Callithrix jacchus: one gene and its partners. The main gene of each other region encodes a partner of the protein of the gene in region 3 in a complex. Links are inferred from orthologs where the notes say so. Each region holds a gene or a part of one and is shown on either strand. Other genes may lie near its edges. The genes, in order: NR5A1, NR5A2 and NR0B2.

Evidence for each region.
Region 1: the proteins of NR0B2 (region 3) and NR5A1 are in contact, whole or in part, in a crystal structure (PDB 1YMT), measured with the Mus musculus proteins. The link is inferred for Callithrix jacchus from reciprocal best matches to the Homo sapiens genes NR0B2 and NR5A1. Residues at the interface, in NP_035980.1 of Mus musculus: Thr19, Ile20, Leu21, Tyr22, Leu24, Leu25, Ser26; in NP_001303616.1 of Mus musculus: Ile275, Val278, Arg282, Phe287, Val292, Gln295, Met296, Leu299, Gln300, Asn450, Leu452, Glu455, Met456.
Region 2: the proteins of NR0B2 (region 3) and NR5A2 are in contact, whole or in part, in a crystal structure (PDB 1YUC), measured with the Homo sapiens proteins. The link is inferred for Callithrix jacchus from reciprocal best matches to the Homo sapiens genes NR0B2 and NR5A2. Residues at the interface, in NP_068804.1 of Homo sapiens: Arg17, Pro18, Ala19, Ile20, Leu21, Tyr22, Leu24, Leu25, Ser26, Ser27, Ser28; in NP_995582.1 of Homo sapiens: Phe354, Val357, Arg361, Phe366, Val371, Asp372, Gln374, Met375, Leu378, Gln379, Asn529, Asn530, Leu531, Glu534, Met535.

The regions. Positions count from the first base shown.
Region 1 is NC_133502.1:173,113,670-173,117,314, forward strand, and holds part of NR5A1 (steroidogenic factor 1), read right to left. Parts: coding exon 3,025-3,645; intron 1-3,024. UniProt on the Homo sapiens protein: Transcriptional activator. Essential for sexual differentiation and formation of the primary steroidogenic tissues. Binds to the Ad4 site found in the promoter region of steroidogenic P450 genes such as CYP11A, CYP11B and CYP21B.
Region 2 is NC_133520.1:27,180,613-27,184,257, forward strand, and holds part of NR5A2 (nuclear receptor subfamily 5 group A member 2), read left to right. Parts: intron 1-645; coding exon 646-893; 3' UTR 894-3,645. UniProt on the Homo sapiens protein: Orphan nuclear receptor that binds DNA as a monomer to the 5'-TCAAGGCCA-3' sequence and controls expression of target genes: regulates key biological processes, such as early embryonic development, cholesterol and bile acid synthesis pathways, as well as liver and pancreas morphogenesis.
Region 3 is NC_133508.1:63,565,110-63,569,476, forward strand, and holds the start of NR0B2 (nuclear receptor subfamily 0 group B member 2), read right to left. Parts: upstream 2,840-4,367; 5' UTR 2,803-2,839; coding exon 2,271-2,802; intron 535-2,270; coding exon 293-534; 3' UTR 1-292. UniProt on the Homo sapiens protein: Transcriptional regulator that acts as a negative regulator of receptor-dependent signaling pathways. Specifically inhibits transactivation of the nuclear receptor with which it interacts.

The DNA of each region.
Region 1 (3,645 bases), on a different chromosome or scaffold from region 3:
AAAAGTTGCTTTATAAGCAAAGTGGCCCCAATATAGTCCCAGAATAATCATGTGCTCAGAGGAGCTTGGGAACAGTGTCTCTCTCCCTGCTGTCTTCCTGGTCAGGACATAGCCTGCAGGCGTCAATTAAATGGTGAAGCTCAGAGGGGAAGAGATAGGAAGGGTGCTGCAGCCCCACTTCCTAAGCTTGCCCTGCCTACGGTCAGTTCTTCCCCTGTCCTGGCTCACTAACCCCTTATAGCAACCCTACAGGGTTGACACTATTCCACCTCCTCCCATTATCAAGATGAGGAAAGTGAGGCCCAGAGAGTGAAGTCACTTGCCCAAATCATACAGCATGTAATCGACATGCTGGCACTTGACAACAGGCCTCTCTGATTCTAGTCTTTGACATTCACTTCTGTGCCACTGTCAGCTGACGTGCTGGGATTGTGTGAGGTGAAAAAATGGAGACAGAGGGACCCCCAACCCAGCTGAGAAAGAAGTTAGGAGAGGAAGACCCCAAGAGGACATCTGCAGCCCAGAATCAGACATATCTGGGCTCACGGCCCCCCTGAGAGCTCAGCTGAGACTCCGGGATGCCTCTTGAGCAGCAAGATGCCATCAGCATCAGAGGGCTGAGTGGGCCTCTGCTCCGAGCTCAGGCGCTGCTGGGGGAGCCCCTCCCTGACCCAGAACCTGGAGCCCCAGCCAGCCCAGGCAGGCCATCCATCAACCTCTGCCCAAGGACCCACTCCTGGTCCCAGCTCTGCTCTGACCTTGCCAACCTCTCCGATCCCACTTCCTGGGCCCACTGGGAACTCCCAGGACCTGATCCGCATTTCGGGGCCTTAGTCTATGCTGTGCCCACTGCCTGGGACATCCTGAATCTTCTCTACTTTCCAGAAAGGCACAGAACTCGTCTCTGAATCCCTCAGTTAGAGCTGTTTGCTCTCCCCCAAGGGCTCCCTCTGCTCCTTCAGTGGCTCTCAGAGCCCGGGGCACCTTCACTGGCAACTAGGTGCATGTCTGATGTCTCCTCCAGGCGGCCAGCTTCCTGGGTTCAGCTGATTTAATGTCCCTAGTGCCCAACCCAAGGGCTGCTCCACCCTCAGAGCCAGAGAGCCCCCTCTTCTGTCTGCTAAGATGTGTCCTGTCCGGAGGTGGGGAAATGAATGATCAGCCAGAAGGGATGCCAGAGTCACACACACCCCTCCCACTTTGCCTCCTCACCACCTCTGGGCTTTGCAAAGAGACACTAGCCCAGGGCCCACTGGACCAGTGGAAAAGAACTTCCACGTGGCTGACAGGAGGCACTCTAAGGGCTGGGCTGGTACTTATCTGCAAGGCCCCTTTACAGAGGCTGGTGACCACCGCTTATAATCCTGGGCTCAATTCAGACTTTGGGAAGGGGAAGCAGGAAGGTTTGAACCACAGAGGAGCCAGAAGCAGGAAAAAACACTCAGCAAAGCTGGGACAACAGCCCTTCCCATCCTGCGTGAAAATCCCCGGGAGACTAGGAAGGCAGCCAGAGGAAGTGCCCTGCCCCTGAGCCCAGGGTTCTGGAAGGCCGGGAATGCCCTGCTCCTCCTCCCCGCTGCACAGGGGCTACATGGGGAATCTGAAGGGAAGCTGGCAACCAATCCCTAGCACTTGAGGTCCTCATCCCCACCATGGCCTCATGTTCAAGAGCCTGCCTTTGACCCCATCCATTAGGTCAGGCCAGAGAGGGGGCAGTGGTGAGAAACCCACCCCATGACAGACAGACACATGGTGCAGCCCCAGGCCTCAGCATGAGGGGCCTCCACAGAGGGAGCAGTAGCCACCACCACTGATCCCCACCTCCCCGACAGCCCAGGCCCCAGTCCCACGACACCACCGCTAGGGCTCGGAGCACCCACGCCCCACCTTCATCCCCCTCCACGCCAGCCAGGGCAGGCAGCGCCCCCAGCCCATCCGGCCTCATGCCCCTGGAGGAAGCCCAGGCCCGAGTGGCGCCACACCGACAATGCTGCTCAAGGCTGCAGTGGCCCCAGCAGGGGGGGCAACGGGCCCTGCTGTTTACACCCAGCCCCAGAACAGCCAGGGGGGCAGCCTGGGAAAGCCAAACACCGATAGCCTGGGTTACAGAGTGCCTAAACCCAGGCCAGGGCGGGGCAGGCCTTGGCCAGCTGGAGGGGCCTCTGGGGAGGTCTCAGAGAGCCAGGGCACTGGAGGGTCAGCTCTGGGGCCTCGGGCTCTTCAAGCCACTAGGTGGAAGACGGGAAGTTCTTTCCTATGTCAAGCCTCAGTTTCTCCTGCCGCTTTCCTGATTTTGTAGCTTCAGGTACCTCAACCCAGGGGGTAGGCTGCCTTGCCAGGGAAGATCAGTGGCAGGCCCTGGAAGCCACCAACCTACCCACCTAGCTCCCTGAACACACCACACACACACACCCCACCATCCAGCATAAACAAGATTTGCAGAGGCAGGAGGATCTTTCACCTCAGCTGGGAAGAAGGAACCACGAATGTCCCAGACTCCAAAACACTAAGAGTCCCATCTGTGTGTGCCGCTGGAGGCGGCAAGGATGGGCAGCCTCCCTAAATGGGAGGACAGGATGGGCCAGACCCTTTTCCTAACACTGGGCTGAAGCCTTGGGAGACAAGACAGTCTCCCCAGGACTCCGCTAGTCCTTTGAGGGAGCCCAGGGCCTCAGAGAACGAGGGAAATGTGTACTAAAAGAGCCTCAGAACAGGGAACCTCAGAGACTGAAGGGGCTGCAGAGACGCTGAGAAGCGGAGAGACAGCACGCCAGGGAGAGAGACAGTAGGAAGAGACAGGTGCAGGGACCAAAGCAGCAGAGGCTCGAGGGGCTCAAGGAGAAGGAACGGGAGGGAGCCAGGACCCACCAGGCTGTGAGAGAGCAGAAATGCTCCTCAGTGTTCCAGGGTGGACTGCCTGAAGCCAGTGGGTAGGAGGGCCCCATCTGAAGGACAGTCGGTCTAAGGCTTGGGCAGCCGGGAGGACAATGATGCAAGGCCAGCCAGGCGGGAGGAGAGACTCACCTCCAGCTCCTTGAATACCATGCACCTGCGTGCCCAGTCCACGATGGAGATGAAGGTCTGGTCAGCCATTCTGCACAGGAGGCCGAATGCCGCCGGCTGGTCAGGGCGGCCTTTGGTGGGCTCCTGCAGGCAGCCCAGGATGCGAGCCCGCACCTGGTCCTCATCCGGCTCCAGCTGCAGCAGCTGCAGGATAAGCTCGGGCACACTGGGCCCTCCAGAGAAGGGCTCTGGGTAGCCATATGGCAGCCCAGGCTGGGGTGGGCTAGCGTAAGGCTCTGGGTACTCAGACTTGATGGCACGGCCAGGAAAGGCAGGGTAGAGGTAGCCAGCCAGTGGCCCATGGGCACCGGGCACGGCCATGGGCAGTGCTGGGGCCCCAAAGTCGCCCATCGGCCCAGCAGGGGGGCCAGAGGCCAGGCCCTTGGGCTCAGGCACATGCAGGCTGGGAGGCAGCGCGTAGTCCGGCGCAGGAGGGGGTGGTGGGGGCACCCCCATTGGGGGCCCCGTCTCCAGCTTGAAGCCATTGGCCCGAATCTGTGCCTTCTTCTGCTGTTTCAGGGCCCGATCCCGCTTGTACATCGGCCCAAACTTGTTCCGGCCACCCCGCATACGGTCAGCACG
Region 2 (3,645 bases), on a different chromosome or scaffold from region 3:
CTGCCTAAAGGACAAGGCTTTCATTTGATAAAGATCATTAGTCACCAAGATATATATTTTAGAGAGTTCCCAATACTGAATATTCCGTTGGCAGTCACTGGAGTGTACCAGATGGTTCATTAGCATAGGCTAGACAAGTCAAAGACTTTCAGAATCATTTAGAAAATGTCAGACCGAAACAAGAATCCTGTCACTTTTTATTAGAATTAACTACATCATACCCTGGACACAGATTTCACCTTGGGTCAGAAAAATTAATACGGAATTATATGAATTGTGTAATATACTGGGTTAAGATAAGTCTTTCTCCAGGGACTCATTTGCTGGCAATATATTAAGATCCCTCTACTTTAGGAATCCTCAAACCTTTCCTTTTGTAAGATATGAAAAGAGTTGACCTTGCTCAAAATCCATTGGTGTCTAATTGATTTGAGGTATATGCAGAATATTCAACAAGACATTCTTCTAAAGCTCTTTTGTGATCCTTTTCCCAGGAAGCTTGGTGAGTGGGGTTTACTGAATATTCAGCAGCATGTAAAGTATGCTTTATGTCAAAAGGAAAATATATCCATTAATTGAACCCATTGCTTTAGTAAACAGGAATTAAAATGCTATTGAAATGTTGCTTTCTTTTTTTTAATGCAGATGTCAAAAACCTTGAAAACTTTCAGCTGGTAGAAGGTGTCCAGGAACAAGTCAATGCCGCCCTTCTGGACTACACAATGTGCAACTACCCGCAGCAGACAGAGAAATTTGGACAGCTACTTCTCCGACTACCCGAAATCCGAGCCATCAGCATGCAGGCCGAAGAATACCTCTACTACAAGCACCTGAATGGGGATGTGCCCTATAATAACCTTCTCATTGAAATGTTGCATGCAAAAAGAGCCTAAGTTACAACCCCTAGGAGCTCTGCTTTCAAAACGAACAGAGATTGGAGGGAGTGGGGAGGGGGAAGAAGAACAGGAAGAAGAAAAGTACTCTGAACTGCTCCAAGCAACACTAATTAAAAACTTGGTTTAAAGATATTGAATTTAAAAAGGCATAATAATCAAATACTTAATAGCAAATAAATGATGTATCAGGGTATTTGTATTGCAAACTGTGAATCAAAGGCTTCACAACCCCAGAGGATTCCACATACAAGACATTGTAATGGAGTGGATTGAACTCACAGATGGATACCAACACGGTCAGAATAAAAATGGACAGAACAATTCTTGTATATTTAAACTGATCTCCGCTATGAAGAAATTTAGGAACTAATCTTATTCATTAGGCTTATACAGTGGGGGATTTGAGCTTACAGGATTCCTCCATGGTAAAGCTGAACTGAAACAATTCTCAAGAAGCATCAGCTGAACCTACGATAGCCCCTCCTCTTCCCTTGAAGGCCCCAGCACCTCTGCCCTGTGGTCACTGAATCTGTACGGGGGACCCGTGTTCAGCCACACCCAGTAGTAGCTCCACCAAATCATGAACAGCCTAATTTTGAATGTCTGTGTCTTAGACCTGCAAACAGCTAATAAGAAATTCTATTAATATGTTAGCTTGCCATTTTAAATATGTTCTGAGGTTTGTTTTGTCATGTGTTCATGGTGTTAAGAAAATGCAGGCAGTATCCCTCTTCTATCTTATATAAGTGTTAATTAATATTAAGGGAAATGACTACAAACTATTAAAGCAAATGCTCCATAGCTAAAGCAACTTAGACCTTATTTCTGCTACTGTTGCTGACATGTGACTTTGGCATTGTTGGATTTCATAAAAAAAATTCTGGCAGGAAGTCTTGTTAGGATACGTCAGTCTTTTTCATCCTCTAAGTTTGTAGTTCATTTAAAAATAAAACATTAAACATATTTTGCTGGGACGTCACATAGTTACAGTTCTAAGTACTTGGAAGCAAAATTGACGCATGTTAATCTATGCAAAGAGAAAGAAAAGGATGAGGTGATGTATTGACTCAAGGTTTATTCTTACTGCAAGTGAACAACCTCAAAACTTGGGATGGAAACGATGATTTTTACATGTGGCTGGAAAGATATTAAAGTAATTCAAATCTTCCCCACAGGGGAAAGGAAGAGAGTGATACTGACCTAAGTCATAGGCCAAAGTCCGCTGTAGAACAAATATTGGAGGACAAAGAATCACAAATTCTCCAAACGACTATTATCAGTATTATTAACATGCGATGCCACAGGTATGAAAGTCTTGCCTTATTTCACAATTCTAAAAGGTAGCTGTGCAGATGAGGATCAACATTTGTTTAAAATAAAGTATTAATACTTTAAAGTCAAATAAAATATAGTGTTTACATTCTTTAGGTCCTGAGGGGCAGGGGGATCTGTGATATAACAAAATAGCAAAAGCAGTTATTTCCTTAATGTTATTTTTCTGATTGGTAATTATTTTTAACAGTACTTAATTATTCTATGTCGTGAGACACTAAAATCAAAAATGGAAATTTCATTTAGACTTTAATTATTTTGAGATTATCGGCGGCACAATCACTTGTAGAAACTGTAAAAAATAGAAGTATCTCCTAGTCTCTTAATTTTTTCATAAATGTTTCTGGCTTTTGAATAGTGTATTTATATTGTATATCATAGTTTCAACCGTAGACAATTATGATGCTAATTTATTGTTTCTTGGTTTCACCTTTGTATAAGATATAACCAAGACTGAAGAAACCAAATATATGTGTTTACTGTAGCATGTCTTCAAGTTAGTGGAACTTAGTTCAGGGACATAGAAGAGTCTTAATGAATTAAAGTCATTCACTTGATGAAATGTCTGTAAATCTTCATAATTCTTACTGTAGTTTATTTAATATCTATTGTAAATTATGTGACTTGTATCTTCCTCTGGTTTTCAAGTAAACAACAAGGTGGAGTCTTACCTGGTTTTCCTTTCCAAGCATTGTAAGTTGTATACCAAAGATATTAGTTATTGCTTCTGTGTGTACAAAGAGGATTATTTTATTACTTTTATTAATCACCTCTAACTACTCATCCACATGAAGGGTACACGTTAGCGAAGCTGGGCGTTGACTCATGCACAGTCCCAGTCACCCGTGTTAGCTTCATGGCTCAAAGGACAATGCAACATCACCAATCAGAGCTCACACCCAAAGTGTTATAGAGAACAGCAGCATCGTCGCCCTCCCCAGCTGAAAAACAAGTTGGCTAGAAGACACGTGAAGAGCAATGGTGTTGTCAACAGTTGATGAAACAGTTCTATCATGCATGTGTAACATGGGTGGAGACAGTTATGAGATTTGACTATAACTATTTGGAAGGCCTTTAACCTTGCCAAAAACCCAAAAACATTGATTTTTATTTTATATTTTAAGAGGTGGGATCTTGACCTCACATGTTGCCCAGGCTGGCCTTGAACTCTTGGGCTCAAGCATTCCTCCCGCCTCAGCCTTCCCAATAGCTGGGACTACAGGTGCATGCCAGCATGCCTGGCCACATTGACTCTTAAAATCTATGTTTTCTTATTTTAAAGATATTTCCCACTGAAAATTAAACCTAAAAAAACGTCACAAATTGGCATGTTGTTAACCTGGTAGATTAAATCATGAGACTGGTTAGAAAGCTCGGCAGCACAGAGGGTGACATCCACACTACTGATCACACCAGC
Region 3 (4,367 bases):
TAATTCAGTTCTGTATAAAGTTGGTAGGACTTCTGGTCCAATGAGCAGCCTAAGCTTTCATTCCCATCCCAAGAAAGGACAGGAGTCTCGGCCCAGAAGCTGTGGGGACCACCAAGAGCCTGCCAGGCAGCTGGAGCACTGTGTCCAAATGAAGGAAGTCCAATGTGGGGTGTGGCTGGCTGTCTATACAGCCTTGCCCCCTCCAGGAGCACTGGGTCACCTCTGGGGATGTCCAGGCTGAATCAGCACTACCAGCCTCTGCCCTCCTGATCTCCGCCTGGGCTGGAGCAGGTCACCTCAGCAAAAGCATGTCCCCAAGAAGGCCAGCGATGTCAACATCTCCAATGATAGGGCGAAAGAAGAGGTCCTCAAGCAGGCTGGTTGGAATGGACTTGAGGGTGGAGGCCATGAGGAGGACACGGGCCAGACGGCCTTGGGCTGCTGGGCACCAGGGCTCCAGGACATCATATAGCGCCCAGTGAGCCTCCTGCTGCAGGTGCTCAATGTGGGAGGAGGCGTGGAGGCCTGGCAAATCTGTGGGCAGAGAGGGAGAAGAGGACTGGTGAGTAACCTATTCCCAGCCACCAAAGGACAAGACTGGCCCCAGATCTGAGCCATCAGAGACACCCCTCTGCCTCCTCTGCTCGGCCTTTGAGGTCTGTCGTGTGAATGTGTCAGGATCTGCAGTACATTGCTGAGTGACTGTATCTAGGCAGTGCTTTTCTGGGCTGTGAGTGGGTGGATAGAGAGTCTTTTAATTTTTATTATTTTATTTTTAATTTTATATATATGTATTTTTTATAGAGAGCATCATTATCATTTCTTTTTCTAAGTATTTGTTATCATTTCTTTCTCTATTTCTTTCTCTCAGACTTCTCTAAGATAGAGAGTCTGTTTCATGGGTCCGTGTACATGTGCCTGAGTTGTACATCTTAGTGTGTGTGGGGGTGGGGGTCCGAGTTGTGTGGTTTGTATTTGTGTCTCAGCTGTGTTTCTGTCTCTATCTGGTGTCTGACTTGTGAGTGAGAGACTGGGTAAGGGAGAGGGTTCCCCTTGCTGCTGGCACTGGGTCACAATAATGGGTACAAGGCCAATCAGCTATAGTTCTAACCTGGGGGGTTTAGAGAATGGCCTGAATGATAACTCCTAGACTATTATCCCCAAGTGAATGGCCTCTTCTTGAGCAATAATTAACTTGGCCCCTGTGAGAAGAATCCAAACTGTGGTGGTGAAGGGGGTGGGGCTGGTCTGGTCAGGGCAGGATTTACTGCCTCCTGTGGAGGAGGTAATTTATTTATTTTCATTTTAGTTATCCATTTATTTATGAAGAGGCAGCATGGAATAATGGTTAAGAATCAGACTTCTGGCTGGGCATGGTGGCTCACGCCTGTAATCCCAGCACTTTGGGAGACCGAGGTGGACGAATCACTTGAGGTCGGGAGTTTGAGACCAGCCTGATCAACATAGAGAAACCCTGTCTCTACTAAAAATACAAAATTAGCTGGGTCTGGTGGCGCACGCCTGTAATCCCAGCTACTTGGGAGGCTGAGGCAGAAGAATTGCTTGAACCTGGGAGGTGGAGATTGTGGTGAGCTGAGACTGGTCCACTGCACTTCAGCCTGAGCAACAGAGTGAGACTCTGTCTCAAAAAACGGTTAGAGCAAGTTTCTCAGGCAGAGTGACAAGGGCCAGTCTCTGGAGTGACTAGACCTGAGTTGCCATCCTAGTCTGTCCCTACCTGGCTGTGTAACCTTCAGCTAGTCACTTAGCTTTTCTGTGCCTCTTCTGTGAGATGGCTATTTGATGAAAATGAGGACCAAGCCAGGTAGGGTGGCTCACACCTGTAATCCCAACACTTTGGGAGGCTGAGGCGGGTAGATCACCTGAGGGGTCAGGAGTTTAAGACCAGCTTGAGCAACATGTCAAAACCCCATATCAACTAAAAAATACAAAAATTAGCCAGGCATGGTGGTGGACGCCTGTAAATCCCAGCTACTCAGGAGGCTGAGGCAGAGGTTGCAGTGAGCCAAGATCATGCCACGGCACTCCAGCCTGGGCAACAGAGTGAGACTCTGTCTCAGAAAAAGAAAGAAGGAAGGAAGGAAGGAAGGAAGGAAGGAAGGAAGGAAGGAAGGAAGGAAGGAAGGAAGGAAGGAAATGAGGACCCAATGAGATAACAAATATCAAATCCTTAGAAGTTAAAAGTTACTTCCCTGGCTGGCCCCTGCTTCAGCCTTGGTCCCCCACCCCAGAAGTGCCTGGGAGCTCACCAGGGTTGAAGAGGATGGTCCCTTTTAGGCAGGCATATTCCTTGGGGCTCAGCTCCAGGCTCCAGAAGGATTCCAGACAGCATTGAAGCCACTGCACGGCAGCCAGCGAGGGCTGGGGTCTGTCCGGCAGCTGGCCACTGCCCCCACTGCTGCTGGGATCCTCCAGCAGAATCTTCTTAAGTATACTGGGCACCGGGGCCTCAGCCACCTCAAAGGTCACAGCGTCTTGGGCCAACCCAAGCAGAAAGAGGGGGCCCCAGCCACCCTGCAGCAGCTGCCGCTTGTCCTGGGGAGGCAGCTGGCAGAAGGATGGCAGGTTCCTGAGGAAGGCCACTGTCTTGGCCAGAACATCCAAGGCCTCCCGGCAGGTGCGATAAGGCGCACATAGCTGGACAGGCCGGTGCTGCCTACACAGGCAGCTACTACGGGGCTGGGGGACAGCCCTGAGGCTGGAGCTCAGAAGTGTGTAGAGAATAGCTGGGCGGCTTGCAGCTCCCTGGCATGGGCAGGCCCCTGGCTGGCTGGTGCTCATGGTTGGGGATCTGCTCTTACTTCCAGCTCTCTGATCCTCTGTTCTGTGCTGTAGGTGCTATTTATATTCCCAGTGAGTGGAAAAGGAGGAATGGCCTGACAACCTTGACTCCAGAAGTCATGTTCATTGAAAAAAACACACAGACACTGCCCCTGGCAGGACTGGTGGGGAAGTGGTGGGGGAGGGGTTTGGGAACCCCACGTGGCGCTGATATCATTTCAGTCAATGAAGTGGCCGGTGCAGGGCACAGGGCTACCTGCCGCTCACTCAGCTGCTGATTATCGGATGACTCAAGTGGATAAACAAGGTCATTAACCCAGGCTGTACCAGGGCACCAAGGCCCCAGGTGCACAATCAGCAGGTGTCCCCATTGGTGGCCGCTCCTGTGTGTACAAAAGATCAGGGCTTTCACTAAGCCAGGAAGCCAGCCCCAGAGCTGGGTGAGCCTTGAATGCAAGGCCCAACCTGGAAGTCCCTTATCACTAGCTTGTTTGCCTAACCTTGGGGCCCTGCTTCTGTTGTCGGCCAGGAGCAGGCTGCAGGGAAGGGAGCCAGGACCCTGAGGGGCTGGGAGGACTTTGCCCGCTTTCCAGTCTAGGAGGCCCCCTTCCTCTGATTCCAGTTCTGGGCCCCATGCAGGAACCCCTATACCCAACCTGATTACTACCACTCCTATATATTTTTTTGAGACGGAGTTTCGGTCTTGTTGCCCAGGCTGGAGTGCAATGGCACGATCTCGGCTCACCGCAACCTCCACCTCCTGGGTTCAAGCGATTCTCCTGCCTCAGCCTCCTGAGTAGCTGGGATTACAGGCATGCACCACCTCGCCTGGCTGATCTTTTGTATTTTTAGTAGAGATGGGGTTTCTCCATGTTGGTCAGGCTGGTCTGGAGCTTCCGACCTCAGGTGATCCACCCACCTCAGCCTCCCAAAGTGCTGGGATTACAGGCGTGAGCCACTGCACCTGGCCTGATTCCTACCACTCCTGAAAGGGCAGATCTGCAGAGAAGAATTTACAGAATTATAATTAAAGATGGTAGCTGGCTGGACATGGTGGCTCATGCCTGTAATCCCAGCACTTTGAGAGGCTGGGGTGGGCAGATCACCTGAGGTCAGGAGTTTGAGACCAGCCTGACCAACATGGCAGGATCCCGTCTCTACTAAAAATACAAAAATTAGCTGGGCATGGAGGCTCGTGCCTGTAGTCACAGCTACTCCAGAGGCTAAGGCAAAAGAATCACTCAAACCCGGGAGGCGGAGGCTGCAGTGAACTGAGATCATGACACTGCACTCTAGCCTGGGTGACAGAGCAAGACCCTGTCTCAAAAAAAAAAAAAAAAAAAAAAAAATATATATATATATATATATGGTTGCCATTCACTGAGCAGCTATTATGTGTCAAGTCCTTCCCACTCTAATATTGGGAGCTTCCCCCTAAGGCTAGATTCTTACTTTGTGAGACTAAAAGAGTTTAAGTGACTTGCCCAAGGTCATCCGACCAGGAAGAGACAAAGCCCAGATCTTGCCGGACTCCAAAGTCCTTGTTTGTTCCCCTGGACCCACTG